Linked DNA regions of Lepisosteus oculatus. The protein of the gene in region 3 interacts with the protein of the main gene of each other region in a biochemical or structural test. Links are inferred from orthologs where the notes say so. Each region holds a gene or a part of one and is shown on either strand. Other genes may lie near its edges. The genes, in order: rad18, rnf40, ube2a and rnf20.

What was found.
Region 1: the proteins of ube2a (region 3) and rad18 form a complex in vitro, tested with the Homo sapiens proteins (12 studies listed by BioGRID, with this or other methods). The link is inferred for Lepisosteus oculatus from reciprocal best matches to the Homo sapiens genes UBE2A and RAD18.
Region 2: the proteins of ube2a (region 3) and rnf40 form a complex in vitro, tested with the Homo sapiens proteins (3 studies listed by BioGRID). The link is inferred for Lepisosteus oculatus from reciprocal best matches to the Homo sapiens genes UBE2A and RNF40.
Region 4: the proteins of ube2a (region 3) and rnf20 form a complex in vitro, tested with the Homo sapiens proteins (4 studies listed by BioGRID, with this or other methods). The link is inferred for Lepisosteus oculatus from reciprocal best matches to the Homo sapiens genes UBE2A and RNF20.

What each region holds. Positions count from the first base shown.
Region 1 is NC_090699.1:53,229,175-53,236,335, reverse strand, and holds the start of rad18 (E3 ubiquitin-protein ligase RAD18), read right to left. Parts: upstream 3,023-7,161; 5' UTR 2,677-3,022; coding exon 2,623-2,676; intron 2,096-2,622; coding exon 2,014-2,095; intron 1,725-2,013; coding exon 1,663-1,724; intron 1-1,662. UniProt on the Homo sapiens protein: E3 ubiquitin-protein ligase involved in postreplication repair of UV-damaged DNA. Postreplication repair functions in gap-filling of a daughter strand on replication of damaged DNA.
Region 2 is NC_090699.1:15,914,187-15,921,344, reverse strand, and holds the start of rnf40 (E3 ubiquitin-protein ligase BRE1B), read right to left. Parts: upstream 3,031-7,158; 5' UTR 2,954-3,030; exon of another isoform or gene 2,663-2,953; intron 2,652-2,662; exon of another isoform or gene 2,553-2,651; intron 1,047-2,552; 5' UTR 1,001-1,046; coding exon 860-1,000; intron 1-859. Other genes in the region: cfap119 (cilia- and flagella-associated protein 119), read left to right, coding at 3,265-3,291, 3,878-3,909, 4,764-4,829, 4,973-5,136, 5,579-5,649, 5,926-6,042, 6,484-6,559, 7,147-7,158.
Region 3 is NC_090703.1:50,198,378-50,206,445, forward strand, and holds the start of ube2a (ubiquitin-conjugating enzyme E2 A), read left to right. Parts: upstream 1-4,985; 5' UTR 4,986-5,273; coding exon 5,274-5,317; intron 5,318-5,580; coding exon 5,581-5,661; intron 5,662-7,578; coding exon 7,579-7,604; intron 7,605-8,068. Other genes in the region: uncharacterized protein, read left to right, coding at 339-915, 1,439-1,499, 1,978-2,180, 2,279-2,364, 3,038-3,127. UniProt on the Homo sapiens protein: E2 ubiquitin-conjugating enzyme that accepts ubiquitin from the ubiquitin-activating enzyme E1 and transfers it to a E3 ubiquitin-protein ligase. In vitro catalyzes 'Lys-11', as well as 'Lys-48'-linked polyubiquitination.
Region 4 is NC_090701.1:42,019,444-42,027,270, reverse strand, and holds the start of rnf20 (E3 ubiquitin-protein ligase BRE1A), read right to left. Parts: upstream 3,167-7,827; 5' UTR 3,061-3,166; intron 1,717-3,060; 5' UTR 1,705-1,716; coding exon 1,543-1,704; intron 707-1,542; coding exon 539-706; intron 110-538; coding exon 1-109. UniProt on the Homo sapiens protein: Component of the RNF20/40 E3 ubiquitin-protein ligase complex that mediates monoubiquitination of 'Lys-120' of histone H2B (H2BK120ub1).

The DNA.
Region 1 (7,161 bases), on a different chromosome or scaffold from region 3:
AAATACTTTCTGTTGTAATTATATATATATAATAATAATAATAATTGCTTACACTTATATAGCGCTTTTCTGGACACTCCACTCAAAGCGCTTATATATGAATTACACTGAATTGCAGTCCATACCATCACATCTCCAGCTTCAGATACACCCACGTTTGAAACAATGCGGATGGTACTTCTTTGCTTTATGCCCTATGCCCACTGTTGTGCTACATCAGAAAGGCCCATGACCCTCCACTTAATACAACGTTGTTCCAATTTTACTATGCACATTGCACCGTACCCTGTCAGAAATGTCTATGTCTACATTGTCTATAGCATTTTCTTGCCAGTGTCTGTATTTGCACCGAAGACCCAGAGAACAATATCCAGATCCTCTGTATACTTGTATATGGCTGGACTGACAAATTAACTTGAACTTGAATTTGCCTTGGGCCAGTTTCAGTTGCCCAAGCATGACATGTTGCCCTATGATGGTTATTCAACAGCAACCCTATGTGTACAATGGGTTCTTATGCCTTCATTCTCAAGACACTATCTTTCTGTCTGGGAGCTGGTCTGGATATGTAGACATCCAGGTGACTGGGCAGTAGGTTAGGATGCAGGACTATTTATTTCATCCTCCGAGATATCTCAATGGGATATACCTCAAACAGGTGTGGTGACTCATGGCCACTTGGTTACCGTCAGTAACAAGTTAAACTCGTGTGAAGCACACCAGTGTCTATTTCCCCTAAATGCTGACATACTTGCCCTCGGCATCCCAATGGCCTCTTCTTTTCTACCCTACCATGGCTGTGGAAGCCATGGGATTTTGTTTCAGCCATGTTTGTGCACACAGTTGCAGACGCAGTAACATCTGAACATCATAGTGATCACATCTACATTTGCATACATGCCTACGATACAAATGACTGAAATGGGTTTTGCACATTTGGTTAACTAATAGTGCAGAATTATTCTCTTTCTGATAAACTGAACCCCTTACTTTTGGAAAAATATTGGCAACAAGACCGTGTTGCCTTTTTAATGCCTCCCAGTATATAAAACTCAAGTCATGTTTTTTGTTTTCTCTCTCTAGCTTAAATGCTTGAACTGACAAAATATTTGAAACCATAAGAAGATAGTCTTAACCTTCCAAAATCAGTGGGGATTATAAAATAATCAGTTTGGTTCTGCTTTGTCAAATGCCATTGATGTTGATCAGATACTGAAATAACATACAAGCATAATAGTATTTAAAGCACTCAGATACAGCACCTTTACACCCAAAGAAAGCACCACAGACAAAACATTGTTTCTTTTCTTCTCTTTTCAGCGTGAAATCAACATTTACTTGTTCCCATACAGTATTTCCCCCTGACCAAAAACAGTGCAAGAAATAGAACTATTTAAATCTAATTAGAAATGTCAGCTTCTGGTTGTATAGAAACTGCTTACAGATATGAAATTTCATTCTTCCTTCAACATCCACATCAGATATTTCTTACCAAAATACTGTATGTAGGCCTGTTCATTGGTGACAACCACATGATTTCAGAAAACATTTAGGTATAGGTTTTCTAATCCACGCAAAATGCCATTGTTACATAAATATGCTATGGAACAATGGTAATTTGCACGTATAAGGAAAGTTTTAAAACAAGAATACTTTACTTACCGAATTACATACTGGACACTTCAGTTTGTAGGACAGAAATTTCCGTATACATAAAGAGCAAACTGAAAGCAACAAACATATTTTTAATATGAATCCACACTACAGCACAGTATAACAACACCATTGCAGGAGGCAGCTTCTATACTTAAAATGTTCAAGCACATTTTTTTTATAGAATTACATGATTTGAGCTCTCTGATATAATTAAAAAGGAACATTTAAAATCTATCGAAATTATTTAAGCACTTAGTAAAAAACGTGACCAAATAAACATTTTGGTTTAAAGTTTTGCTTGGAAACAAAAATAATGTACTTATGTTTTACAAATCTCAAACTGAAATGTGTACTCACAGTTATGGGAACAGTGCTGAACCATCATTGAAATGTCCAGATAATCAAAGCAGATTGGACATCTAAACAAAGAATCTAGATTCTAAAAACAAAGAGAGTCCATAACTTGAGTTGGCTATTCTACAAGCAACTACTGTACTCTGTAATTTCATCTACACTACAGTAAACTACTATTTATTTTCCATTCTTAAGAACGACGCACACAACAGTGTAAATATTTTACAAAGTGAAACATCACAGCTCCTTGAATGAAATAAAAGGTGCGATGGCAAAAAGACTGCTGTGTAAATACGAGCACATAAACTGTAGTATTTGGTTACAAATGATAGGCCAATCCAAAATGCTTGAAAAAGGAAAAATCCGCAGTTTGAAAATAATCGCAACTTTTATTACCTAAAAAAATATTACCTAAGTTCAAAGGATCTGTTCTCACGGTGCACACTTAACAGTAAGTTTCGGTTGTCTCATGACCTACTACTTCTTGACATCACATGGTATCAATTTTGTGGATATATAGCATAAACGTATATTAAGGCACTTTGCTTACACTAAGGAGCATTAATCATACAGTGCCTAAATAAGAGTTGCACTGACGTTTCCTTCACTTACTTTGAGATGACACAAATTAGGGGGGATTTCCGCTTCAGTAAAGCTTTGTGACATTTTATAAACACTTGATAAAATACTCCTTCTTTAACTTCAAATTTTAAGAAAAAGAACCTGACTGCAAATACACTTATTATTTAACACTCCCGCGCCAGTGCCGGAAGTTGAGTAAAAGCTTCCGCAGTGAAAATCGTCACTTCCTGCAGTGAAGAGTGAACTGGATGTTGTAGGCTTGATAGAATCTGCAATGATCACAGTACATTACTAATTTTTACGTATGTTTACGGCTGTAAACCTTAGTGTACGAAGTTCCACTGTCTTTATCCAATCTTACTTCTTCTATTCCTATGTTAGTAGCACAAATGAGCGCAGAGAAAATAATTACTGTTTCCATTGAGCTTCTACACATAGGACATTTGCAGTGCAAGCACTCAAGAGTGCCGCGCGTCCATGACAAAATCGCCTCCACCGGAAAATAAGCGAAAAATAAGGAACTGCCCCAAAACGAAAATCACTGGTGAGGCGGGCCTTTCACCCCCACTTCGGTCAGGTGCATTATTAGATCTCAAAAGAACTTTAAAAACTGTGATACCTCGAAGCGCCTGCAGGTTCCTATTTACTGATTTACAGGGCATTCTCTTATCAACAGGAGGGTTATTTTGGTAATAATGGGCTAGTTCTTTATTTAGCAATGTCAAGTGAATACAAATTATTTTTTTTATAATGGAACAAGTAATAGGTTTATTCCATGCTGAAAAAAAGAAGAAAGAGAACACAACCTGAACTATTTTTTATAATGATGACCTGGGGAGCCATTTATTCAGCAGGTTACTGACTGGAGTAATTTGAGTGAATTACCTTGCTTAAGGGTACAATGGCAGTGTCTTACCTGGGATATGAACTCACAGCTATCTGGACTGGATTCCAGAGTCCTAATTACTTCTCCATGCTGCACATTCAAATTGCCTAAAAGAAGATCTTGTGTAATGGAGAGGTATTTTTTATCACCAATTCAGAAATAATTATAATAATAAAAAACATTTTTATTTTATATAGCGCCTTTAAAGGTGGCTTCTCAAAGCGCTTTACAGAATGACAACAACAATAAATAAAACAAATACACAAGATAAAACACAATTACAATACACAGAGGAGACCATGGATGGTGGTTCTAAGTATAGTAGGAGCAGAGGGGTAAAGAATGGAACCAGTTAAGTAAAGGCTCTTATGAGTCTGGATTTGAAGGAGTTAAGAGGAGGTGACTCCGATATCCTTGGGAAGAGAGTTCCAGAGCTTGGGGGCATAGCAGGAGATGGCCCTGTCACTCATAGAATGTTGAAGGGCTTGGGGAACAGTTAGGAGACCAGAATTAGAAGAGGTTGCGAGGTGGGAAGTAGGGCGATAATAGTTCAGACAGGTACTGAAGTGTCAAACCATGCAGAACCTTATAGGTGAGCATGAGGATTTTAAAGTCCACATGGAATTTGACAAAAAGCCAGTGCAAGGACTCCAGGATAGGAGTATTGTGATCACTTGCACTAGACCTGGTCAGGATCCTGGCTGCCAAATTTTGGACTTACTGCAGTTTGTTCAATGTAGATTTAGATACCTCAGCGAGCAGAGCATTACAGTAGTCAGTTCAGGAGAACACAAATGTGTTGATCAGCTTTTCAGCCACAGTTAGTGGCTGAAAAATAACTGTTTTAATCTATGACAACTAATGAATATTTTGCGTATTTCCCATCTACCTGAAGTTTGGGTGAATTCATTGCAGACTATACTCAGACACCCTTGAACAATGACATACAGTATTAAGCAATGAATTGTATTGTGGAGTTAAATGATTTGGAATTCTAATCAGGTAGTCCAGTATAAGAAGCCATTAATCACGTGTCTTGGATCAGAGATACAGTCATTTTCAAGTACACACTCACATAGGGTCCATAATAACAAAAATTCAATTTCCAATAATAAAGCACCATCTATTTTTGAAAGCTGACCTGACTGTTTATTCTGTTTTGCATCATTACTGTACCCTCTCTTGGGGTGAGTGTCAAGTTAGGAATACAGTATGCTTCTCAGTATTAACCTAAAGGAGAGTGTTTTCTTACTAAAAACAATCTTTCTGATCTTCATCTGTACATAATTATCTGAACTCATTCAGTCATATGCATACTAACCTCTGGGGGATGAAAAATACTTTTCATTTTGTGGATCAAACTAAACCAAGTATTCAAGTATCTTCACCATGTTCCTGCATCATCATCATCACCACCACCAACATCTAGCACCCAGCTGGATCACGCAATGTCAGCCAAAATGCACCAGTAGACATCAGATGTCAGTGGGGAGGAGAACATAGTAGTGAAGCCAATTCATAGATGGGGATTATTAGGAGGGCATTATTGGTAAAGGCCAAGGTAACATTTGGCCAGGACACTGGGATAACACCCCAACTCTTTTTTTGAGAAATGCCCTGGGATTTTTAGTGGCCACAGACATTTGCTTTACATCTCATCCAATACTATTTTACAGTATATTGTATAGCTGCAGTATATATGAATTAGATACAGTATATCCAATATTATATAATAGCTTTGTTTGCCATGATGGTCACAAAATGATAGTATATAAAAAAGTAGTTTAAAATTATTTGTTTTGAAAGAATATACATTGTCCATACAATTTCCCTACGACACTTCCTGAGCTTTTGCAGAAAACTGAATTAAAGTCAAAACCCATTTTGTGGATGTTTTAAAGTAAACAAAGTTATGGATGGGGGGTCTATATTTAAGATACTGATCCACAAAGCAGGCAGTTTTATTGGTAATGTGGGGAAGAACATTGAGCTGTATTATTATTTTGAGAATAACCTCTTTAAGAACATAATGGCTAAAAATAAATCTGAGCTTTCTGATCGTATCCTTTGCCTTGACACAGAGGATTAACATTCCCATTTCCATCTGATCTAGACCAGTTACAGTAGACTAGACTGAAAACTGTCTCTCAGAAAAAAAAAAATCAATAAACTGAAGTGGTGAGGGAAGCAGAAACAAGGTCAACAAGTCGGGCTTTTGTTAATTCAACAGAAGAACAGCTCCAAGCATTGCATTTATTAAATACTGACACCCATACTACCTTTACACATCTAGATTCTCATAACTCTACAATTGGATTTTCAGTTTTCATTTTGAAAGTTAACCTGTGCCCAGTTCACAAGACTGTTCACAACATTTCACAACACGGACTTTTAAATGCCGTCTTTATCACTTGTTAAGAAGTTAAAATGTGGTTTTGTAGAATGAATGCAGTAATCTAGTTTCTTAAAATCAAAATGTGTCTTTCTCTTGTCTCATCCTATTGAGGCTGCTGTGAATAAAGCCATTTCTAAATCTAATATTTCCGTTGCCCATCTGTGTTCTATAAACTATGTGTCATGTATCCAGTACATGGATATAAATCAAGAGACCGTCATTACATTTGTTATATAATTCAAAAGCCTAGTGGCATTAAAAAGACAGTAAATAAATTAAGAGTGTTATAATTCATGACTCAGAACTGAAGCACCATATAGTGGTTTTCTATTCTATACTTTCTATATTACAATTTAATAACATTCAACTCATTAATCAATTTTAAAGGTGTTTATTGCAATCTGACTTCTTTAAATACCCAGTTTCTGAAATACATTTATGTTCAGTCCAGTGTTTGGTGTCATTATATTTAATAGTGTCAAAACACGTGAAATGACCTTTTCCTTTCAGTTTCCAATTTAACTTAGATGCCTACAGTGTACAAGATGCTGTTCTCTTTTACTGAACATTACAGCTGAGCAGGTTGCTAATGATAACTATATCTCTTACAGGCAGTGAGTGCCACGTGCTCGGAAAACACATGTTCCTTAGAGTGATGTGGACTTTTCTATTAATCTTTAAGATTAACACTACGCTTTCTTCTGAACTTTTGTCTCAAAAATGTACCTTTAAAATACATTAATTGGAAGTTGCTAGGCAAACATAAGTAGAATTAAAATATGTTTTTTTTTTCTTTGCATCTCTGAGCTGCTGACCTCCAGCATCCCACTGATATGATGGTTTTCTAGGGTCTTTCATTTTTAACAACTCAAATGTTCTTTCTCTATGACATACTGCCACTGAAAATAGAGCATTTATTACTTCTTAAGCTCCATGTGCTGACATGTACTGTGCAGCACAGAAGCTCATAAAGAATGGTGAAGTGCTACAAGAACTGCCTTTGCATGGCTTGGATATAGTTCTCACATAAAACTAGAAAATTTGACAAGAACCCATTATCCATCAGTAGTTCCCTGGCAACCTCTGACTTTCAGTTATTTAATTATATATAGATTTTTACTTTCAGGGAGTCTGTTTGGAACTGCAGTTTATTGGTAGTCATGGAACAGATTTGAATAATATCCCTTAGGGTACTGATATTCACCCATGGAGGCCTGCCATGTCCTCTGGTTTTCATTCCATGCTGGAGTCTTAATAACTTTAAGAAATTGTTCACTAAATTGGTCTA
Region 2 (7,158 bases), on a different chromosome or scaffold from region 3:
CCAGAGCGGGGCGTGTGGGGGGTCAACACTCGGGACTGCGCCCCAGAGCGCGGCGACACTCGGGACTGCGCCCCAGAGCGCGGCGACACTCGGGACTGCGCCCCAGAGCGCGGCGACACTCGGGACTGGCCCCAGAGCGGGGCGTGTGGGGGTCTACACTCGGGACTGCGCCCCAGAGCGGGGCGACACTCGGGGCTGGCCCCAGAGCGGGGCGTGTGGGGGGTCTACACTCGGGACTGCGCCCCAGAGCGCGGCGACACTCGGGACTGCGCCCCCAGAGCGCGGCGACACTCGGGACTGCGCCCCCAGAGCGCGGCGACACTCGGGGCTGGCCCCAGAGCGGGGCGTGTGGGGGGTCAACACTCGGGGCTGGCCCCAGAGCGGGGCGTGTGGGGGGTCTACACTCGGGACTGCGCCCCAGAGCGCGGCGACACTCGGGACTGCGCCCCCAGAGCGCGGCGACACTCGGGGCTGGCCCCAGAGCGGGGCGTGTGGGGGTCTACACTCGGGACTGCGCCCCAGAGCGCGGCGACACTCGGGACTGCGCCCCAGAGCGCGGCAAAACTCGGGGCTGGCCCCAGAGCGGGGCGTGTGGGGGGTCAACACTCGGGGCTGGCCCCAGAGCGGGGCGTGTGGGGGGTCTACACTCGGGACTGCGCCCCAGAGCGCGGCGACACTCGGGACTGCGCCCCAGAGCGGGGCGTGTGGGGGGTCTACACTCGGGACTGCGCCCCAGAGCGGGGCGTGTGGGGGGTCTACACTCGGGACTGTGCCCCAGAGTGGGGCGTGTGGGGGGTCTACACTCGGGACTGCGCCCCAGAGCGGGGGGGATGCAGGGTGGCAGAAGACAGTGGCTGACCGTAGAGGACACCCCTCCAAGGCGGATGGGCTCGATCAGAGTGGTGGTAGTCTTCTCCTCCCTTTTCCCTTTCTTCTCGGGGGGCCCCGGTGGGCTGTCTCCTCCTCCTGCTCCCCGCTTTCCTGCCCCTGCCCCTGACATGATCACTGACACTGCACGCCTCCTCCTGGCACTCCAAGAGCTACACCTGCAGAGACAGAGCCGTTTGTACATGACCAGTACATTAACACTGCACTGAGAGAGAGGGGTTCATACAGACACACTGACTGACTGGACACTCCAGTACATTAACACTGCACTGAGAGAGAGGGGTTCATACAGACACACTGACTGGACACTCCAGTACATTAACACTGCACTGAGAGAGAGGGGTTCATACAGACACACTGACTGACTGGACACTCCAGTACATTAACACTGCACTGAGAGAGAGGGGTTCATACAGACACACTGACTGACTGGACACTCCAGTACATTAACACTGCACTGAGAGAGAGGGGTTAATACAGACACACTGACTGACTGGACACTCCAGTACATTAACACTGCACTGAGAGAGAGGGGTTCATACAGACAGACTGACTGACTGGACACTCCAGGACATTAACACTGCACTGAGAGAGAGGGGTTCATACAGACACACTGACTGACTGGACACTCCAGTACATTAACACTGCACTGAGAGAGAGGGGTTCATACAGACACACTGACTGACTGGACACTCCAGTACATTAACACTGCACTGAGAGAGAGGGGTTCATACAGACACACTGACTGACTGGACACTCCAGTACATTAACACTGCACTGAGAGAGGGGTTCATACAGACACACTGACTGGACACTCCAGTACATTAACACTGCACTGAGAGAGAGGGGTTCATACAGACACACTGACTGGACACTCCAGTACATTAACACTGCACTGAGAGAGAGGGGTTCATACAGACACACTGACTGGACACTCCAGTACATTAACACTGCACTGAGAGAGAGGGGTTCATACAGACACACTTACTGACTGGACACTCCAGTACATTAACACTGCACTGAGAGAGAGGGGTTCATACAGACACACTGACTGACTGGACACTCCAGTACATTAACACTGCACTGAGAGAGAGGGGTTCATACAGACACACTGACTGACTGGACACTCCAGTACATTAACACTGCACTGAGAGAGAGGGGTTCATACAGACACACTGACTGACTGGACACTCCAGTACATTAACACTGCACTGAGAGAGAGGGGTTCATACAGACACACTGACTGACTGGACACTCCAGTACATTAACACTGCACTGAGAGAGAGGGGTTCATACAGACACACTGACTGACTGGACACTCCAGTACATTAACACTGCACTGAGAGAGAGGGGTTCATACAGACACACTGACTGACTGGACACTCCAGTACATTAACACTGCACTGAGAGAGAGGGGTTCATACAGACACACTGACTGACTGGACACTCCAGTACATTAACACTGCACTGAGAGAGAGGGGTTCATACAGACACACTGACTGACTGGACACTCCAGTACATTAACACTGCACTGAGAGAGAAGGGTTAATACAGACACACTGACTGACTGGACACTACAGTACACTAACACTGCACTGACAGAGAAGGGTTATTTAAGACACGGCTTGTACAGAACATTAAATTGGCCAATTTTTTTCAGTAACCTTCAGTCCTTCCACGTCTTCAGCGAAGAGAGATGTGGGTTGATCTGTAAGATTCCTGACAGACACATTTTTTGACAAAACGAACATCTGATGTTAGGCAGTGGACCTACTATCCTAGTAGGCGGGTCTTCCTAACGGTGTTCCTGTCCTGTTAGCATGACGCCCGATGCCCTCACTCTCCTGCACGACTGCAGTGTGCCCACCGTGAGCCGATCAGCGCTGCGGCGGCTGTTTGGCCCCGATCTCCGCACCCGACACGCAGAGCGATCCGCGTCCTTCTCCGTCTCCTCACCGCTGAGTTGACGTAGGACCTCGAAGGGAGTCACAACCGAGTAAACTGCTAATCTGGCACGATTTTTTCACGGAAAGTAATAAATTCACGAACAGAAAAGTGAACAAACCTCAGCGACTGTGACAGCGGCTCGCAATACAACACATCCTCCTCGTCACCCGGAAGTATATGTCGGACCGGCGCATTTCCGGGTCTCGCTCACGGGAAGAGGTTCCGGAAGCATCACGCAGAGGAAGCTGGGTTTCAGTTGCTGTGGAAACGAGCGAGACGCTCTTGACGCTACCGAAGGGGGTGGAGATGTTATTGTAGTTTAAATGATTAATCTTTTTATAACATTTAAGCATTACTGAAGGCTTTTTCATCCTAAACGCTAACCTCAGAATTCTGGGCTAAGATACGTTTTCAGAAAATCATCTTAGAATGAAGGGAGAAGGCCTTTTGACAATGGTAAGACTTCGTCTCAGCGTGGTCGGGCTAGCCATCTGGTACCGGCTTTGCTCTGCTTTTGCAAAAAGATAACATTCTGAAAAAATGGGTTAACAACAACACGGCCTGACTATTGTTTTTGTGGGTTTGTTCTCTCTCCTCTCCTATCTTGTCCAACACCTTCTCTCTCCTCGCCTGTCCTATCCTACTCAGTCCCTCTCCCTCTCTACTCCCCCCTCCTGTCCTGTCCGTCTCACCCTCTCTCCTCTCCTACTCCCTCTGTCCCTCTCTCTCTCCTGTCCCACTGCCTCTCTCTCCTCTCTTTCTCTCCTGTCCCTCTCTCCTCTTTCTCCTGTCCCTCTGTCTCTTCTGTCCCATTGCTTCTCTCTCCTGTCCCTCTCCTCTCTCTCTCCTGTCCCTCTCCCTCTCTCCCTTCTGTCCCATTGCCTCTCTCTCTCTCTCCTGTCCCTCTGTCTCTTCTGTCCCATTGCCTCTCTCTCCTGTCCCTCTCCTTCTCTCTCTCCTATCTCACTCCCTTTGTCCCTCACCCTCTCTCTCCCTCAGTCTTTCTGATAACGCCCTGTCCCCTGTGCTCTTGTCTCTGCAGCCTCGCCCTCTGAAGCCCAGAGTCCTGCTGTGGTGAGTTCAGTCTCCCTCTCCTGCAGCTTGTTCTGCACTATTAAAATGCAGGCTTGTGAGATGGGCTCTGTCCTTATCCTGATGTGATTCAGGTTGGAAACTGGCAGACACAGTTTTTTGCAGTTTGTGTTTCCCAGTGATTCCCCCAAGCTGACGTAGTACCAGTTAGGTAAGACCTGAACTGGACAGAGATGTTATTAAGCCTGCTGTGTTTATGGGAGCTCCCTTCACGATGATGGCTTATAAAACAAACACATCTGACAGCAGCTACATGACCCTGCAGCTCACAGCTTGCAACCCACTGAAGGGAGACTCCTGGGAAAGCTGAGCTTGCTGCTGGAAGAGATGTTAGTGGGGCCAGTAGGGGGCGCCCCAGCATAGTGATGGGGACACTATACTGTAAAAAGGCATCGTCCTTCTGATGAGACGTGAAACCGAGGTCCTGACTCTCTGTGGTCATTAAAAATCCCAGGGTGTTTCTTGAAAAGAGTAGAGGTGTTACCCCAGTGTCCTGCCAAAATTTCCCCCTATCCTTTACTAATCATGTCCTCCTAATAACCCCCCTCTCTGAACTGGCTTCATCACTCTGCTCTCCTCCCCACTGAGAGCTGGTGTGTGTGAGCAGACTGGAGCATCATCCAGGAGAGGAGACCCCATTACCTGTAAAGAGCTTTGAGTGGAGTGTCCAGAAAAGCGCTATAAAGGTGTGAGATTATTATTATTATATGATTATTATTACATCTTGGACGGGTAGTTATTGCTGAGATCCCTGCAGGGTAGCTGATGCCGTGGGGCGCAGGGGCGCCCCAGCAGTCTGGTCAGGGCAGTCAGTGACTCCGGCCGTCTGTGTGCAGGGCAGACCTCAGCTACGCCGACATGGAGGAGGTGGAGGCGGCGCAGACGACAGAGGAGCTGCAGAGGTCAGACCCAGAGCCTCCATACGTGTGTTAGCGGTCCGATTTCACCCGCCGCGGCGCTTTCGTAAGGGCCTCGTGGCAGGGACGCTCAGCTGAGCCACCAGTGCAGTGTGAACTCTCCCCCCCTCTGGCTCTCTCTCCCTCAGAGCGCTGGGCAGGGCGCTGGCTCTGCAGCTGTCCCGGCCCAGTGACAGCATCCTGGCCGACATGTACCTGTACGCTGTGCTGTTCTGCAGAGAGAGGCAGTTTAACAGGGAACAGACCTCAGTGCTGGTGTCCATCGTCAGAGCCCTGCACCTCGCCAATACTGGTAATCACAGCTCTGTGACCCCACACAGGAACCCCACAATGCCACTGTCTGTGACCCCACACTGTTTCACCATGCAGGAACCCCAAGCTGTAACCCCACACTGCCACTGTCTGTGACCCTACACTGTAACACCACACTGCCACTGTCTGTGACCCTACACTGTAACACCACACTGCCACTGTCTGTGACCCTACACTGTAACACCACACTGCCACTGTCTGTGACCCTACACTGTAACCCCACACTGCCACTGTCTGTGACCCTACACTGTAACACCACACTGCTGCTGTCTGTAACCCCACACCTCTGCTGTCTGTGACCCCACACTGTGAAGGAGAAGGAATAGCTGTGTTCTCATATCCTAGTCAGATTGAAAGGGGAGGCAATCCAGAGTGCAACTCTTCATAGCAACAGTAACCTGACTGGTGGACTTTCATTCCAGAGACGCCCCTCAACAACATGGAGTACTGCTTCAACTACTTCACTGAGCTGGTCCTGTGCCACTGCGTCAGGGTCAGTGTGTCTGTCACTGTCTCACTGCTCTGAGCTGGCTGTCTCTGTGTTTCACTGCTCTGAGCTGTCTGTCTGTGTCTCTACCTTGAGCTGTCTGTATGTCACTGTGTCTCACTGCTCTGAGCTGTCTGTCTCTGTGTCTCACACTCTGAGCTGTCTGTTTCTACCAGGTTACAAGTAGGTAGTGTATGTCAGTGTGTTAGCCCACATGTCTGTGTGCTGGGTGTTTAAAAATGATCTGGTCTCTCCCCCTCCCCGCTGTGTCCCTCTCTCCAGCGCCCTCCCTTCAGTATTGACCTCTTCAGCCCAGAGCAGGCCACACAGATCACAGAGTACCTCGTCAACACCTACTTCAGGCACTACGCCCTGTACAAGTACACCTTCACTCCCCAGGTGCTGAATGCCTGCAGCTTTTTCTGCCATTTCACAGACTCACTCTGCCCACCTGTCTGACTGACTGACTGACTGACTACTGATCTGTCTCACAGTCTGTCCACCTGTCTGACTGACTGACTACTGATCTGTCTCACAATCTTTCCACCTGTCAGACTGATTGACTACTGATGTGTCTCACACTCTGTCCACCTTTCTGGCTGACTGGCTGCTGATCTGTCTCACACTCTGCCCACCTATCTGACTGACTGGCTGCTGTTCTGTCTCACACTCTGCCCACCTGTCTGACTGACTGACTACTGATCTGTCTCGCACTCTGTCCACCTGTCTGTCTGACTGATGATCTGTCTCATATTCTGTGCACCAGTCTGTCTGACTGACTGCTGATCTGTCTCTCACTCTGTCCGCCTGACTGTCTGCTGGCCTGTCGCCCTCTTGCAGGTGAGACTGGACCTCTCTCTGACCTACTGCGGGATGCCTGAGGCCGAGGCAGTGGACAGTGACTCCCTGGAGCCAGGTACTGGCGCCACGCAGCAGCCCCAGCTCACACTGAGGCCTGTGTGCAGCATGTGGAGTCTCAGTGCCAGCGTATCCTCTCCACTGTAGAGCACTGCTGTCCCACCCTGGTCCCTGAGGCCAGTGTGTGGACCCCTGAGGGTTTGATCAGGTCGGTAAGATGATCAGTTCAAGGAAGTCAGGAACAGCCACTCAATCTGAAACACGACTGCTAAATCTCACCAGGCCTCACTTTGCGGTTTTGTTACACAGCAGAGTCTTTCATTGGCTGAAGCAACATGATTGATCTCAGCTGTTGTCAGCTCATAAACCTGCTGAATGCCCCTGTAAACCACTGCGGGTCATAAACTACAACCCAAAACTTCAGAGCAGGAAAAGACACTTGCAAAATTCCAGTCAGTCAAATCGCAAGCTCAATGAAGGCATCAGTTAAGTAATTGAGTAATCACTTTGTAAAAACTAGCATGTTAACAAGCATTTTAATAAGTTCAGTGAAGTCAGGAATGGAGTGACCCAGAAGACTTTGTATATTGGGGTGTCCTTTGGGCATCTTTGGGTGGTTGCGCCCATACCGTGACTCTGTTCCAGGGCCAGGGACTG
Region 3 (8,068 bases):
CGTAGGGGAGAAAAAAAATCTTTCACTTCCGTTGATATATTTATTTTCTGTTCTAAGTTTAATTGAATTTTTGAATCATTTTAAGAAGGTCCTTGATCGAGGCAAAATTGGAAGTTTGTTCTTGTGACAAGGTGCCCTAGTCATCTCCTTGCCTGTGCTGTGGTAGAATCAAATGCATTCGCACTCTGGCGATGGTTTAGAAGGCTGTTATCCTGGGGTTTGTGTTTTGAAAGGTGTCTGCATTAGTCTGCCACTTGAAGTGCAGCTGCCAGTTATAAAGTGTGTGGTTCAGGGAATGTGACTCACCTGGTACCCAGTGGCTTGCTTGTCATCCTCAGGGTGGCAGTAGAGATGGTATTGAATGCCCCAATGGGGTGCCACAGTGCCTGGATGGTGACAGCCCAGGTGTGGGCTTGGAAACGGACACTGGGAGCTCCGGAGACGTCCTTGGCTCCTGTCCTGCCAGCCTCCCCAGCGCCCACACCAAAGAGCCAGCAGACAGCAGCAGAAACAGAGACGCCCGAGCAGGTGATGGGTCTGCCAGAGTCCCCTGGCCAGGCGGAGCTGGTGCAGCAGAATCGAGCCACTCTAACCTGGAATTCAGGGAACTCCGGCCCGACTGGCACCCTGGTCAAGCGGATCTGCCAGAACCTTGTCCCCTCAGCAAACGGCTCTCCGTCTCAGCCGATGCCCTGCAGCGCAGTTTTGGGGACGGCCCGACTGCCCCCTTCAAAAGTTTCAAGATGAAAAAAGCCAGCCGGTTTCCGAGAGGGCCCGGGCGTGGCCCGGCCACCGGAGAACAGGCCCAGGAGAGCAAGGAGAGGAACGAGAAGAAGGGCCAGGAGCAGCAGCAGAACAAGACCAGCAACCTGGACATCTCCGCTGCTGTCTGCGATCTGCTCAAGGAGATGGGGGGTATGTCCCGAGACTGCACACAAGTGATTCCCGATTCCAACACGTTCCAGTTGCACTGTGGCTTAATGTGCTCTTCTGTGTAGGATGAGCCAGGGAAAAAGGTGTCCCACTGCCTGTGGTTCTTTGTGTGTACTGCCTTTGCTTGTGAAACCCTGTTTACCACATCTGAATTTGTATGAGATCTGTTTACTCTGGAGCAAATAGTTTTTGCAGTATAGGTCTTTGAATCAAACACAATCCATCGATCCGTTTTCAAATCCACAATATGTAACAGAGCCTAATTTGGCCAGCAAGGCAGGGTACATCCTGGACAGGACACCAGTCCATCGCAGCGCGCACGCGCACGCAGGGTTCATGAAACACATCTGTCAGTGACACAAATGACTAAAGAATTTAATTCTTAATTATTCTCTTTTCAAAATGGCAGTTTAAGAGTCCGTTATCTGCACTGAGGGCGATTAAATAAAAACGGTTTGAATCTGCTATATGAAACCTTACGTAAATGTTTGTCATTTTCTTCCAGGGAATATCTTTGTTAACCTGGCTCGTTTTGTTTGCAAACTGCCGGTGCTGAACTTGGAGAAGTAAGTAGACTTCTTTTTTCTTCTGTAGCTAGTTGAAGGCTAATGCTTTTGTTAAACTGTGGAAGTGAGGAAGACTAACTGCAGAGAATGAGAAGCCCTGGTGCTGCAGGAGGTGAGGAAGGGCTGACAAGGCAAGGCTGTGCGATGTCATAACCGGCCAGCAGCCTGCAGTGTGCCGTCGGCATAGAAGGAAACCACAGTCGCTCAGGACCTCAGCAGAATGCCTCCGCTGATGTAAGGAGCCGAGAAGCGAACTCTTCAGCAATTGCGTGTCGTACTCTCTCATGACGGTAACTCAGAAATCAGGCCAGGAAATTCTAAACGGATAGTGGCACTTGTTTCAATCACCCTGTAATAACTCAAGGCCTTCAAGCAATAACTGATGATTCGGAATAACTGATGTTGCCTGCCATGCCAGACGAGGCGCTCACCCGGCAGAGCTGTGGCCTCACGTCTGTGCGTGTCTGCCGCTCTCCAGGAACCTGGACGCTTACTTCAGGACCCTGAACCTCACGGAGGCCCGGCTGGCCTCCTACATCGACACGCTGCGGGAGAAACAGTGGCCCGCGGGGCAGCCGGCCGGCCCCAGCCCCGGCCCCAGCCCGGCCCCGGAGAGGACCGCCGAGCAGAGGGCCGAGACCAAGCAGAAGGCACGGGAGCTGCTGCAGACCAAAGTGCCGTGTGAGTGTGCCGCGCCCCCCCCCCCACTCCCGTCCGGCCCCCCGAGAGCCGGGGCTGGAGGGCGATGTGTTAACGCCGGCCCTTTCTCCTTTTTTCAGATTTAAAAAAAGTCTTAAATAAAAGCGACGTCGATGCCATACTTGATGTCTTCCAAAACGAAGCAGAGAACAAGAAGCTGGTTTATGTGAGTAGATCTCTGTACAGGACACGGAGTAATGCCAGACATGATGATAGCGGCACTGTGTGTATAACTCTAGTGGTGTTAGTGGGGCCAGCAGGGGGCGCTCACCCTGTAGTCTGTGTGGGTCCTAATGCCCCAGTATAGTGACGGGGACACTGTACTGTAAACAGGCGCCGTCCTTTGGATCAGACATAAAACAGAGGTCCTGACTCTCTGTGGTCATTAAAACTCCCAGGGTTTCTTGAAAAGAGTAGGGGTGTAACCCCGGCGTCCTGGCCAAATTTCCCATTGGCCCTTACCAATCATGGCCTCCTAATAATCCCCATCTCTGAACTGGCTTCATCACTGCACTCCTCCCCACTGAGAGCTGGTGTGTGTGAGAGTACTGGCGCATCATCCAGGTGGGGCTGCACACTGGTGGTGGTGAAGGGGATCCCCGTGACCTGTAAAGCAAGTTGAGTGGGGTGTCAAGAAAATTGCTTTATAAAGTGTAAGGAATTATTATTATTGTTATTATTATTTATTATTAATAACAATAATTAAAACCTTTGCTTATAAGAAGAGAATAAAGAGCACCAAAGAAGCCAATTAACAGAACAGTTTTTTTTCTGTTTCTCAGCTAACTCATCACAAGGTTAATGAGAGGGATGTGAGCCTTCCTGTTCTGTTTCTGCAGATGTTGCTCTCGTTCCTGTTGAGGAAGCTGGTGCCCGAAGACCCTTCCCTGAAAGTGCCAGCCTTGTCCTGCCTGAGCAGCCCTCTGTGACCCCGAGCAGAACCGCCACAGGGGGGCGCTGAAGCAACTTCAAGAGCCGAGAGCCTGTATATTGAGACTAAGTACATCTTGGAGCTCTGGTGTGACGTGCCAAACACAGTGTAGCTGGAAGGTTGTTAAACTCTTGAAAGGGTCCGAACAGGACGTATTGGAATGTCCTGCTTCTCCTGGGTTCATCAACATGCTTTTGTGTAGTCGTGCAGTTAAATTTGCACAACCCGTTCATCATCTGTATCGTACGCCACCGAAGGCATCCACAGCCTGCGTGCTGTAAAACGTCCCTCTGCGTTTCCTCAGATACGAGAAGAGATGCGTTTTGTGTTAAAAATCAGTTGTTTCACATTCCTGCGGTGCCCATCGAGTGAGCATGTTTACATGTTTATAGTCTCCTTTTTTGTTACTTTCTGTATCGACTCCTATTAACCCAAAGTAATAAATTAATATGAGCCGTAATGGGTGGAAAAGGCACAATTAGATTTTTTTTTCCCCCTCGTGGCAGGGTTGTTTCTTCCGTGACCACATGGCCACTCTAGGTTTGAGAGGGCGTAAGTGCAATTAAAATGATTTTATTTAGCTCTGGTTCCAGTAAAGTGCTCTCTTGACAGTTTGCTTGCAGCAGGCTGTGGTCCCCTCAAAACAAGGAATATCTCACTGTGAATTTCTCGTCTGTTACTCGTTGACTCTTTGAAACTCTGATTCTGCTGTTTAACACGGATGCTGCTATTAACACCAGACCTACTTAACTCTGTGTTCCTCCCAGAATCCTCCTTCACCCTCTTCTGAACCAGCGGCAGGTTGGTCGGTTTAGCAGATTCTGTACGGGGGTGAACTGCGAGACTTTATTGTACAGTATTTAATTTTAATTTGGGAGGAATGGTGGTTTCTACTGTAAACGGACCAAGTTAGCCTAGAAAACGTACATACAGTCATTTTTATAACTTTTAAAAAATACTTCTGCTTCAGAGTAGTATCGCACAGAATTAATTTTTGGATGGTTAGAGTCATTTTCTCCTATTTTTAATGGAAAGGGATGGGGGCAGATTCACTGAGTTTTAGCAATCCTGAATATGTGATCCGTATTGAGTGTTTTGAACGTTACCAGTTGCTGAGGGCACTTTGTATTTCTTGTGTTTATCCATAGGTATTTCTTGGATTATGCTTGTTAATCATTTTTCAATAAATTACATTTATTTTAATTGTCTTTTTTGGAATTAAAAATATTCAGATTCTATACACTAAAATTTTGCTTTATTTGACTTAATGACATTACTGTATCCATAGTCACAACTACCTATGAAATCGTGACCTTGTTCCATATTTTTGGTCTTATTTCAGCCCTGGAAGACGTCTGTTAGATTGAATAGTTTGGCGACATATAAATGTTCGGTTTCTGTCAAATTATAGTATGGATTATCGTTTAACAACAAAATTAGTACTGATTGCCAAAGATGTCACTGAGTGAATACCGTTTATACTTGATTTGTAATAAAGCAAAATTAACCTGCAAAGCAAATCGCATATAAATTGGGCTCGGGTTGTCAAATGCTCTTGCATGGTATACATGTTTTTTGGTGATTTCTTTAATTAGAGGACTGTTTAAAAAAAGGGCATTTGTCGGGGAAGCAAAAACGTCTGGTTCACGCTCAGTATTTCAGCCCTGCAGGTAAACATTTGACGCCAAGACTAACCCAGCAAAGCAATGAACAAAAAAAATCACATTGTGATCGATAGGCTTCTGAAACCCGGAGGAGGAGGAGGGGGGGGGGTTGTCGGCGCAAAACACGTCTCTTTCAAAACTTGAGCTCGCAGTAACCGGAGTACTGGAGAATTGAACAGCCGCTGCTTTATTTTCCCCGACCCTGGGCGGTGGAAACGGGATTTAATGTTGGGTGGTTTTGAGCCGGGCCGAGCCCACATAGGGTTGGTCCTCCCCCACGGCAGGGCGGCGGAGTTGGTATCGCCCTGAGTCCTCCGAGTTCCCGGCTCGGGAAACAGAGCCGCACGGGCGTCAGATACGTCTTCGGTTGTGGGGTTAAAAAAACCGAGTCGCGCTCGACTTCCCGGCGTCTAAAATCAGAAAACGACCGCCTTATGTTTCATTTTTAACTTTTTTTTTCCTCCCTCCCCCTTCACGAAGATGTCAACCCCAGCTAGACGGCGTTTAATGAGAGACTTCAAACGGTAAGAGGGTCGAAGGCTTCTTCGGGCGTTTTGTAGCGACCGAAAAAAAAAAAAAAAGAGGAGGCGAACATGGCGACTATTCAGAAACTGTGCGGAGTGGGACCGAGCGCTACGCAAGTTTCGCAGCGTCCGCCGCGGCGGAGACCGCGGGGCCTACGCGAGCAATGTGGCGTAACGGCCGTTCCGGGATAGGGAAGAGTTTTGATGACAGGATCTCTCAGAAACAAGGCAGTGTGTTATTTTGTGTTGTCTCTGTGAATCAGGCTGCAGGAGGACCCCCCTGCGGGCGTCAGCGGAGCGCCCTCGGAGAACAACATCATGGTCTGGAATGCGGTTATTTTCGGGTAAGTGGCGGGCCGTGCGCGTTTTTAATCCACCGCCTTTATTTTCCGTAGTCGAGTCGGTTGCCCTTTCCAGCCGCCGGGAGAGAAGCGCTGTGGCCGGGAGAGCCGGTTAGCACCGGGTCCCGGGAGCGAAGTTTGTGAAGACAATTGTGCGGACAGCGTCTTTACGCCAGTGGCTGGCTTTTTCCTTCCCTTTTCTAGAGACGTCAGCGCTGTCGAAGTCTCTTTCATACCCAGTCCGTGTGCCTCCAGCTGGGCAACAAGTATGACACGGTGTAGGGTGGTTATTTAAAGCACCTGGCTGCGCGACACGTATCCGACACCTCGCGTTAAATACACGTTTTAGGAATTGCGCGATTTTGTTTTTCCTTCAACGTTTTATGGAGCAGTCTTGCGTTACTGTCTCCGTCGCCGGTTTTTCATTTGAGTTGTTCCGCATGGCCACACGTTTTTGTTTCTGACACAGAGTCTGTCCTTAGTTTGTTGGTTTGTTTGTGTTTTTGGTGGGGGGAAGGGGGTGTGTGTGTGTGTTGTGAAATGTCCCAAGGAAAACATAAAGAAGACCGCCCCCCCCCCTGTCCTGCTTGTCCTGTTTATCACACAGTTGATTCTCACACAAAAAAAACAGAAGCCGACTGTTCCTGTCGTGTGACGCGTCTACATCTACAAGGAAATGTTAAAAAGCGATCAACTATCTTTTTTTAATACTCTTCTCGTACTTTACATTGAATCGTCCCGGGTGCGCTCTTTCAAGGCGGACCAGCGACATCAGTTCAGCGATGGTACTTTAAAAAAAAAAAAATACAATGTGACTATGCGTTTCTCTGGCCTGTTTCCAGTGGGGCTTTGCAGTCCAATGCGCGACAGCTGGTCCGTGGAGAAGACGCTGCTGTGTCGGTGGCCGGTCCGGTGGTGTTAATGCACTTTCCCCGGGTGTCAGTCGCGTAACAGGTCGTCACACAACACCCCGACAGGCCTTGAGTGGCGTAACAGGCGGTGGTTCGGTGTTGTCCTGCTGGGTCATGGATCACTCTGGTGCCTGGGCTCCGAAACTGGGCCAGAGCCGGTCCCGGACCCCGCTGTCCGCACTGTCGGGCTCTTGAGCTGCGACCAGCATCGACCTGTTCTAATTGCGCTTGGATTCAGTTCGGGCTGAATCTATTCCATAACAGCAGACACATCGCAGAGACTTAATTCCTTATTGGGGGAAAATAGAAAAAAATAAAAAGATCATTTGCAGTGTCTAAGGGTGGACGGCATCAACGCTGCCTAGATCTAGGCTGTTGGTTGAGAATTATGGAAATTAGTATGCAAAGGAGTTCAGACAACGCTGATGTGTGGTGTCTCCTACCTGTGGGATTAAGGCTGGTTTTTAGTAACTGGATTAATGGTAGTACCACACCCAAAGAAAACTAACTAAACATTTCTAACCCACAGCCTTGTTTCTGAGCAATCGGATGAGGTGGCTGAGTAAAGGGTGTGATAAAAGTTTCTGTGCCTTGCATTCTTTATTAACATAACAATGAAGGAACCTGGTGACACGTTTTATACTTTTTTACTTCTGTTATAATTGCACGTCTGTATTTTTTTAAGACTTCCTTTGTTCATACAAATGCGATAGGCAGGTAATGGTATATTTGTTTTCCTTAATGCTTTTTCTGCGCTTTATTAAAAAAATAGAACCACAGGTTTCACTTCTATAGAAATCTAAAACCTGAGAAATGAATGCTGTGTTCACAGTAGCCCTACCGATAGTGTTGCCACTAAGGTTACAATGACCAGCTCTGATGTAAATGGTGATTAGTTTTTAATCTCAGATTAACCTTCTAGATTTTCTTTGTTGAAGGAAGAAAAACACTTTTTTAGTTTGTGCTTTGAGGTTCACTAATTCTTTCTTTTTTTTTCTCCTTTCTGTAGCCCCGAGGGAACACCATTTGAAGATGGTAAGTTCCTAATTGTGATTTTATTCATTCAATATGTAATGGCACCAGGCACCATTGTGCCGTTAAATTATTGTGGATTTTTCTAGAGAGTGGTTAGATCTGATATTAATGTCACGTTTAAGAGTCAGTTTCTGTTCCCTTGTTTTTATTTGGATTAATTCCTGAGCAAGATGTTGTATTTGTTGCATGTTAATAACTTAAGAGACTAAGCAAAGAGATTTAATAAAGTATCTAGGCTGTAAGTCCAGGTGTGTGCATCTGAGTTTAAATTCAGAAATAAAGAATTCATTTCTGTAGCTGGGAGAAAGTGTCTGATTTCACTGGAGAATATCTAGTCCTTTCCAAACTGGGCTGGATTCTTGTAGGCCTGTACACAGAGTGAATCAGTGGCAGGTGAGACCATGTGCTTTTTATCCTCCTGGCTTTGGTAAGAATAAAGAGGCTGGGAGTGTGAGAGATGCACA
Region 4 (7,827 bases), on a different chromosome or scaffold from region 3:
GCTCAGGAGTCTCCGGCTTCAGGCTCCGCCCCTCCGAGGGCGGCAGCAGGTCCCCGAGCTCCGCCTGCAGGTCGTAGCGCCGGCCAATCAGGCGCACGTTCTCGTCGAACTGAGGGGGGGGGGGCGGGAGAGTGGCAGGTCAATACAGGCGCACTGAACGTACCAACAGGTCCAACCGCAGGCACACTCGTATCCAGAGGCTGGGCGCGATATACACAGCGCGATATACACAAAAGGATACACAGATGGATAGCGCGCATATCATGAGGACTGTCTAGACCATCTGCTTCATCTGCATTGGCAAACATTAATGCAAACATAAGCCACACGCAGGATATAAAGTCCAGAATCGTTATTAAATATTGAGCAGAAACCACAAAAGGCCCCAGCATTCCAAGTGTAGCATGGCCACACCTGAGCATCACGGGCATCTTTTCCAGCTGCTGGAAACTGAGCCTCTCATAGCCACAGTGGTGTGTGAGCAGCACCTGCCGATGGACCGGCGTCAGGGCACGCCCTGAGCAGCGTGGAGCATTACCTGGTTCCAGTAGCGGTTCAGGATGAGCAGACTGGCATCATCAGTTGCTTGCCGTCTCTCCAGCCTCTCAGCTCGATCTCGCAGCTCATCCTCAATCACCTGCCTCTGGTCAAGAGCCTCTCCCAGCTTCCTGTTCTTAACCTGGAGAGCTCGGATATCCTGCTCCTCCTGAGAGAGAGAGGGGTTAATACAGTCCAGACACACTGACTGGACACTACAGGACATTAACACTGCACTGAGAGAGAGGGGTTAATACAGTCCAGACACACTGATTGGACACTACAGGACATTAACACTGCACTGAGAGAGAGGGGTTAATACAGTCCAGACACACTGACTGGACACTACAGGACATTAACACTGCACTGAGAGAGAGAGGGGTTAATACAGTCCAGACACACTGACTGGACACTCCAGTACATTAACACTGCACTGAGAGAGAGGGGTTAATACAGTACAGACACACTGACTGGACACTACAGGACATTAACACTGCACTGAGAGAGAGGGGTTAATACAGTCCAGACACACTGACTGGACACTCCAGTACATTAACACTGCACTGAGAGAGAGGGGTTAATATAGTCCAGACACACTGACTGGACACTACAGGACATTAACACTGCACTGAGAGAGAGGGGTTAATACAGTCCAAACACACTGACTGGACACTACAGGACATTAACACTGCACTGAGAGAGAGGGGTTAATACAGTCCAGACACACTGACTGGACACTACAGGACATTAACACTGCACTGAGAGAGAGGGGTTAATACAGTCCAGACACACTGACTGGACACTCCAGTACATTAACACTGCACTGAGAGAGAGAGAGGTTAATACAGTCCAGACACACTGACTGGACACTCCAGGACACTAATACTGCACTGAGAGAAATGTGTAACAAGACGTCTTCACAATATCAGTCTGGTAGGAGACAGTGTATGGACAGCTGACAGAGCCAGGGTGATGGCCTGATGTTGGACAGGGGGTGGGACTCACAGTGTTGGACACTCCCCCCAGCTTGATGACCGTCTCCACAGCGGTGCTGCCGCCCGCAGCTCCCCCGTCCTCCGCCTCCCTCTCCCCCTCCCTCTCTCGCTCCCGCCGCTTCTCGGGGGGCCCGGAGGTCAGGGGGTCAGCAGGGCGCTTCAGCCCCGACATCGCTGGCCCAGCCTAGGACAGAGAGCAGGTCAAGATGGCGCCGGCGCCAAGCTGCGGCACGTATCCCACGGTGCACCGGCCCGCTCCCAAGATGCAGCTGGGGCAGGAAGTGCTGCAGGCGTGAGACTTTCTCAGCCTCTCGCCCAGACGCGACCGCAGGCCTGTCCGCCTGAGCCAGAGGAGGAGACACACTGCTCTCCCTGGCAAGCCTGGTTTCTCCACACCTTGGCCCAGCAAAGCCCCTTCCTAGACTCGAAGCAACAAATAAAAGCAGAGTTGAAGTCTCAGGACTCAACCACTCTTCCCGGCACAGAAGCTCAGGGAATCTCTGAAACTCGTCCGATTCAGTTTCTGTTGATTGCGACGGCGTCTCAGATCAGCCCCCTAGTGTGGGGCGTTTTAAAGACATTGGGGTGTCAAGTTGTTTAAAGTCCTCTGCCTGCTGCCAGGGGCCTCCTGGAGAATCTACCTGCGTCCCTGTAACAGCCGATAAACCCCACAGGGCAGCTCAAACGCCACATCCTGCTCGCTCCAGTGTCCGGAGAGCACAAGAGAGCTCAGCTCGAGTGAAGACCCGGAGAGCCAGTGAAAGAAGCTCAGCTGCAAACTCCAGAGAGCCAGAGAACACAGCACCATCAGAGTGATGCGCAGAGACAGGGCCGATACAGAGCCAGGACTGGAAAAGGGCTTTCTGGCCTCTGGATGGCCTGAAGTAGTCTCTGTTGGGAATCAGGATCAGGAATACTCCGAATGAAGGGAGACTCAGCTTCCTTGCACATTCAGACAGATAAACTCTCTTGATGGAGGGCACACACGCCCTGAGTGACTACACACCCCAGAGCTGGTGACATGCTCCATTATAAGAAAGTCTTGAGCATAGCTGGTTGAGCAAACCAATTCAAGACTCATTTCATGAAGTGGCTGCAGGTAGGACAGGCAGGCAAACTCCCACTGCCCAGCAGTCTGCGCCTCTCCAGCGTTAACCTGCTGCAAGCTCTTGTACAGATGAGAATTAATTTCGCTGTCTCTGACAGAAGCCGGGGAGCCCCAGTAATTTTACTAACAGGGAGAGCGGTGAGCCCCGGGAAGTTTACTAACAGGGAGACCGATGAGCCCCCGTAGTTTCTCTCTGCTGGAGAGAGCAGTGATCTCTAGTAATTTTACTATCTAACGCAGAAAATCTTTTATATCAGCACAGAAAGATGCTGATATAAACTCAGCGCTACACCCAACACACAAACACACAGCTTACACACACGTACACCACTACACGACCAGGGCAACTACACAACACTAACGTTATCTTCTCATTCACCTCCTGCGCTAAAGTCACTCATAGCGTCTTCGTTTTCTTACCGAAAGTTCTCCCGAAGTCTTGCCTTTAACGCCGGTCTCAATGATTCATGTTTTAGATTTGTGTACACCTCCAGCTCCCACCCTCTCTATCCCCGTCTCCTGCTTACGGAAGCGGAAGTTAAACCACAACCTGCTTTATTTGTTGGCGGGGCGCTGTGCGCGGCTCTCGGGACGGTATCGCGCCACCTGGTGGTGGGAGGTCATATCGGCCTGGGCAGGGCCTCGATTACTGTGGGATCACCTCAACTGATAATACTGCTCCTGTGACATTATTATTAGTATTACACTTCAGCTGGGTAGCTGCGTCAGCATGCTTAGGCTGCGAAGGAACAAGTAATAGGTTTAATCCATGCTGAAAAGAGGAGAAAGAAAACCCAACGTTTTGGCCGTGGAGGCTTCTTCAGGTGTGAGCTTACACACACACCCTCACACCTGAAGAAGGCTCCACGGCCAAAACGTTGTGTTTTCTTTCTCCTCTTTTCAGCCTGGAATAAACCTATGACTTGTTCCATTATTCTTATTATTGGTAGTACTAACGGAGATATAAATCAGGTGGCACAAGCGGTTAGCCTTGTTAAGACCATGGATTTAATTCCTGGGGTGCTGTCTGTGTGAAGTTGATATGTTCTCCCTGTGTTCATGCTGGTTTCCTCCCACAGTCCAAAGACATACTGTCAGGTTAATTAGCTTCTGGGAAAACAGGCCCTGGTGTGTGTGTGTGTTTCTGTGTGCACTGTGATGGACAGGTGTCCCATCCAGGGTGTGCTGTGCCTTTCACCCACTGCTTACTGGGATAGACTCCGACTCCCCCACAACCCTGAACTGGAGTACTTAGAAAATGGATGCAAGAAGAAAATTATATTTATTTGATGTGAATCCTCAGTGTGTCACTATAGCGCACTGGGCTACACTCTGACAGGAGTGCTCAGTGTGTCACTATAGCGCACTGGGCTACACTCTGACAGGAGTGCTCAGTGTGTCACTATAGCGCACTGGGCTAAACTCAGACAGGAGTGCTCAGTGTGTCACTGTAGCGCACTGGGCTACACTCTGACAGGAGTGCTCAGTGTGTCACTGTACCGCACTGGGCTACACTCTGACAGGAGTGCTCAGTGTGTCACTGTACCGCACTGGGCTACACTCAGACAGGAGTGCTCAGTGTGTCACTGTAGCGCACTGGGCTACACTCTGACAGGAGTGCTCAGTGTGTCACTGTAGCGCACTGGGCTACACTCTGACAGGAGTGCTCAGTGTGTCACTGTAGCGCACTGGGCTACACTCAGACAGGAGTGCTCAGTGTGTCACTGTAGCGCACTGGGCTACACTCAGAGAAGGTCTGATCTTCCCTGTCGAGGAGTCTAAGTGAAAGGCAAGCCAGGACTGTTCCATACAGAACCATACCTTTGACGCCTCATAATAATCTTCAACTCATTGCATAACCAGACAGCTACTTAATAGACAGAGAAATTAATATCAATTCAGTCCTGCATCAAACTGCAGCACGGTATCTTTCTGGAAGCTAATACTTCAGCTGTGGGTCAGGGTTCACATTGTGTAACTTTCTCTTATCTGCAGTGCTTGGAAAGATAGCACTGCCTGACTGAATCATGGAGCAATTTCTGGGTAAGAATGATTAGATCTGGGAGTTAAATCTTAACCACATTCATTGTGGTCTGTGTTTCAGTCTAGGGAGATGTGGCCATGTTTGTCTCTTTCTGTACTGAACTGTGTATTTATAATTTAGTTAATCAATCTTTATTGGCTCTAAGGGAATTTGTCTTGCAGATCAAGAGCTCATAAAAATATAACATACTATATACGACATAAATACAATGCAACAACAGTACAATAACATGACACAAAACAACATTTATCAACATCACTCAATGAGAACTCTAGGAATATCATTTACATTTCCAGCATGTACATGTACACTCAGTGGCCAGAATATTGGGAACCCTGAGTCAAAATGAACAGATTCATAGCAGGCAGTGTGTCTGATCTTCACAACCACTGCTCACACCTGCCCAATCAGACACTCTACTGCTCACACCTGTTATCTGAGACACTGCACTGCTCACACCTGTTATCTGAGACACTTCACTGCTCACACCTGTCATCTGAGACACTCCACTGCTCACACCTGACATCTGAAACACTCCACTGCTCACACCTGACATCTGAGAGACTCCACTGCTCACACGTGTCACCTGAGACACTCCACTGCTCACACCTGCCCAATCAGACACTCTACTGCTCACACCTGTTATCTGAGACACTCCACTGCTCACACCTGACATCTGAGACACTCCACTGCTCACACCTGCCCAATCAGACACTCTACTGCTCACACCTGTCACATGAAACACTCCACTGCTCACACCTGTCACCTGAGACACTCCACTGCTCACACCTGACATCTGAGACACTCCACTGCTCACACCTGCCCAATCAGACACTCCACTGCTCACACCTGTCACCTGAGACACTCCACTGCTCACACCTGTAAGAAGATATATCTTCTTGTGTTCTTTAGATAGATGATAGATACTTTATTGACCCCATGAGGGAAATTTAGTGTAGTTTCAGTCCTGGGTGCTTGTTTGTGGAGCTCTGACAATTCAATCAAAGCCTTACTTTTCAAACCCGTGCTGTCCGTCCATGTAGAGAGCAGCCTCAATAAAGGCACCAGTGACAACCAACGTTGTCCTCTTGCTGCTCTAGCCTGATTGGGACATGTGCGTGTTGTTTTGGCTCCTCTTGTTTCCAGTATTTCCTGTTTCCACTGCACTGCTGTATTCTGTCTGCCTCTTGCCAGTTCCAGAGGGCAGCATGGTGGGTGTCTGGGATTGTGGCTTCGAACTCCTGCTGCGGACACTGCAGTTGTACCTGGAGGGAGGGGCTGTACCCCAGTGGAAAGGTGGGGACCAGCCCTGCTGGGGAAAGGCTCTGTGACGGGACCACGTGCCCTCTGAGGGCTCGATGCCATGGAACGTGGGATGAGCTCTGACACAGACAGCACAGTCGGTGTTTCAGTCCCTTCACTCAACACACATGAGCCTGCGCGTGGGGACCCCAGCTGTCTGCCCAGACACTGCTTTGAGAGACAGGACAGGCACCACCAAGCTGGGGTACACTAGGAGCACCCCAGTATCTGTCCTTACCCATGTGGGGATGGCTTACGTAAGAGGATTTACAGGTGAAGGGGAATCTATCTTTCTGGGGCCAAATCTCTCTCCTTCTCCCAGTTACACCTGTTACCCCCTGTTACAGCCTGCCTGCCTTTCCTGCACACAGAGACTGAGGGGTTAATACAGTCCAGACACACTGACTGGACACTACAGGACATTAACACTGCACTGAGAGAGAGGGGTTAATACAGTACAGACACACTGACTGGACACTACGGGACATTAACACTGCACTGAGAGAGAGGGGTTAATACAGTCCAGACACACTGACTGGACACTACAGGACATTAACACTGCACTGAGAGAGAGGGGTTAATACAGTCCAGACACACTGACTGGACACTACAGGACATTAACACTGCACTGAGAGGGGTTAATACAGTCCAGACACACTGACTGGACACTACAGGACATTAACACTGCACTGAGAGAGAGGGGTTAATACAGTCCAGACACACTGACTGGACACTACAGGACATTAACACTGCACTGAGAGGGGTTAATACAGTCCAGACACACTGACTGGACACTACAGGACATTAACACTGCACTGAGAGAGAGGGGTTAATACAGTCCAGACACACTGACTGGACACTACAGGACATTAATACTGCACTGAGAGAGAGGGGTTAATACAGTCCAGACACACTGACTGGACACTACAGTACATTAACACTGCACTGAGAGAGAGGGGTTAATACAGTCCAGACACACTGACTGGACACTACAGGACATTAACACTGCACTGAGAGAGAGAGTTTGAGAGATGGTGCTGTAAGGAAGGATGATGCAGTACTCTGTCTGGGTTGTGGGGCAGGATGGGCAGGGAGTGAGAGGAGATACTATGTGTTGGAGATATAGTGAGATAGAGAGAGCTGGAAAGATACAGAGAGAACAGAGGGAATTCAGCACAATAGCAAGGTTTGAATTCAGCCTAGTGTGTTTACTGCTGTGTTTGTTCCACAGAGTGCTGATCTTTGCTCCCCCAGTCAGTGAAATCAGCCAAGCCCAGCGTGAACACTGCACTCTGACAGAGTGGAGCTGCAGCTGGCCATTAACACTCCTGTTCTAACAGGACTGCTCTACTGTACTGGGACTGTAGCTCCTATTGTAACAGGACTGCTCTACAGTACTGGGACTGTAGCTCCTATTGTAGCAGGTTGCTCTACTGTACTGGGACTGTAGCTCTTATTGTAACTGGACTGTTTTCCTGCACTGGGACTGTAGCTCCTATTGTAACAGGACTGTTCTACTGCACTGGGACTGTTGCTCCTATTGTAGCAGGTTGCTCTACTGTACTGGGACTGTAGCTCCTATTGTAACAGGACTGCTCTACTGTACTGGGACTGTAGCTCCTATTGTAACAGGACTGTTCTACTGTACTGGGACTGTAGCCCCTATTGTAACAGGACTGTTCTCCTGCACTGGGACTGTAGCTCCTATTGTAACAAGACTGTTCTACTGTACTGGGACTGTAGCCCCTATTGTAACTGGACTGTTCTACTGCGCTGGGACTGTAGCCCCTATTGTAACAGGACTGTTCTACTGTACTGGGACTGTAGCCCCTATTGTAACA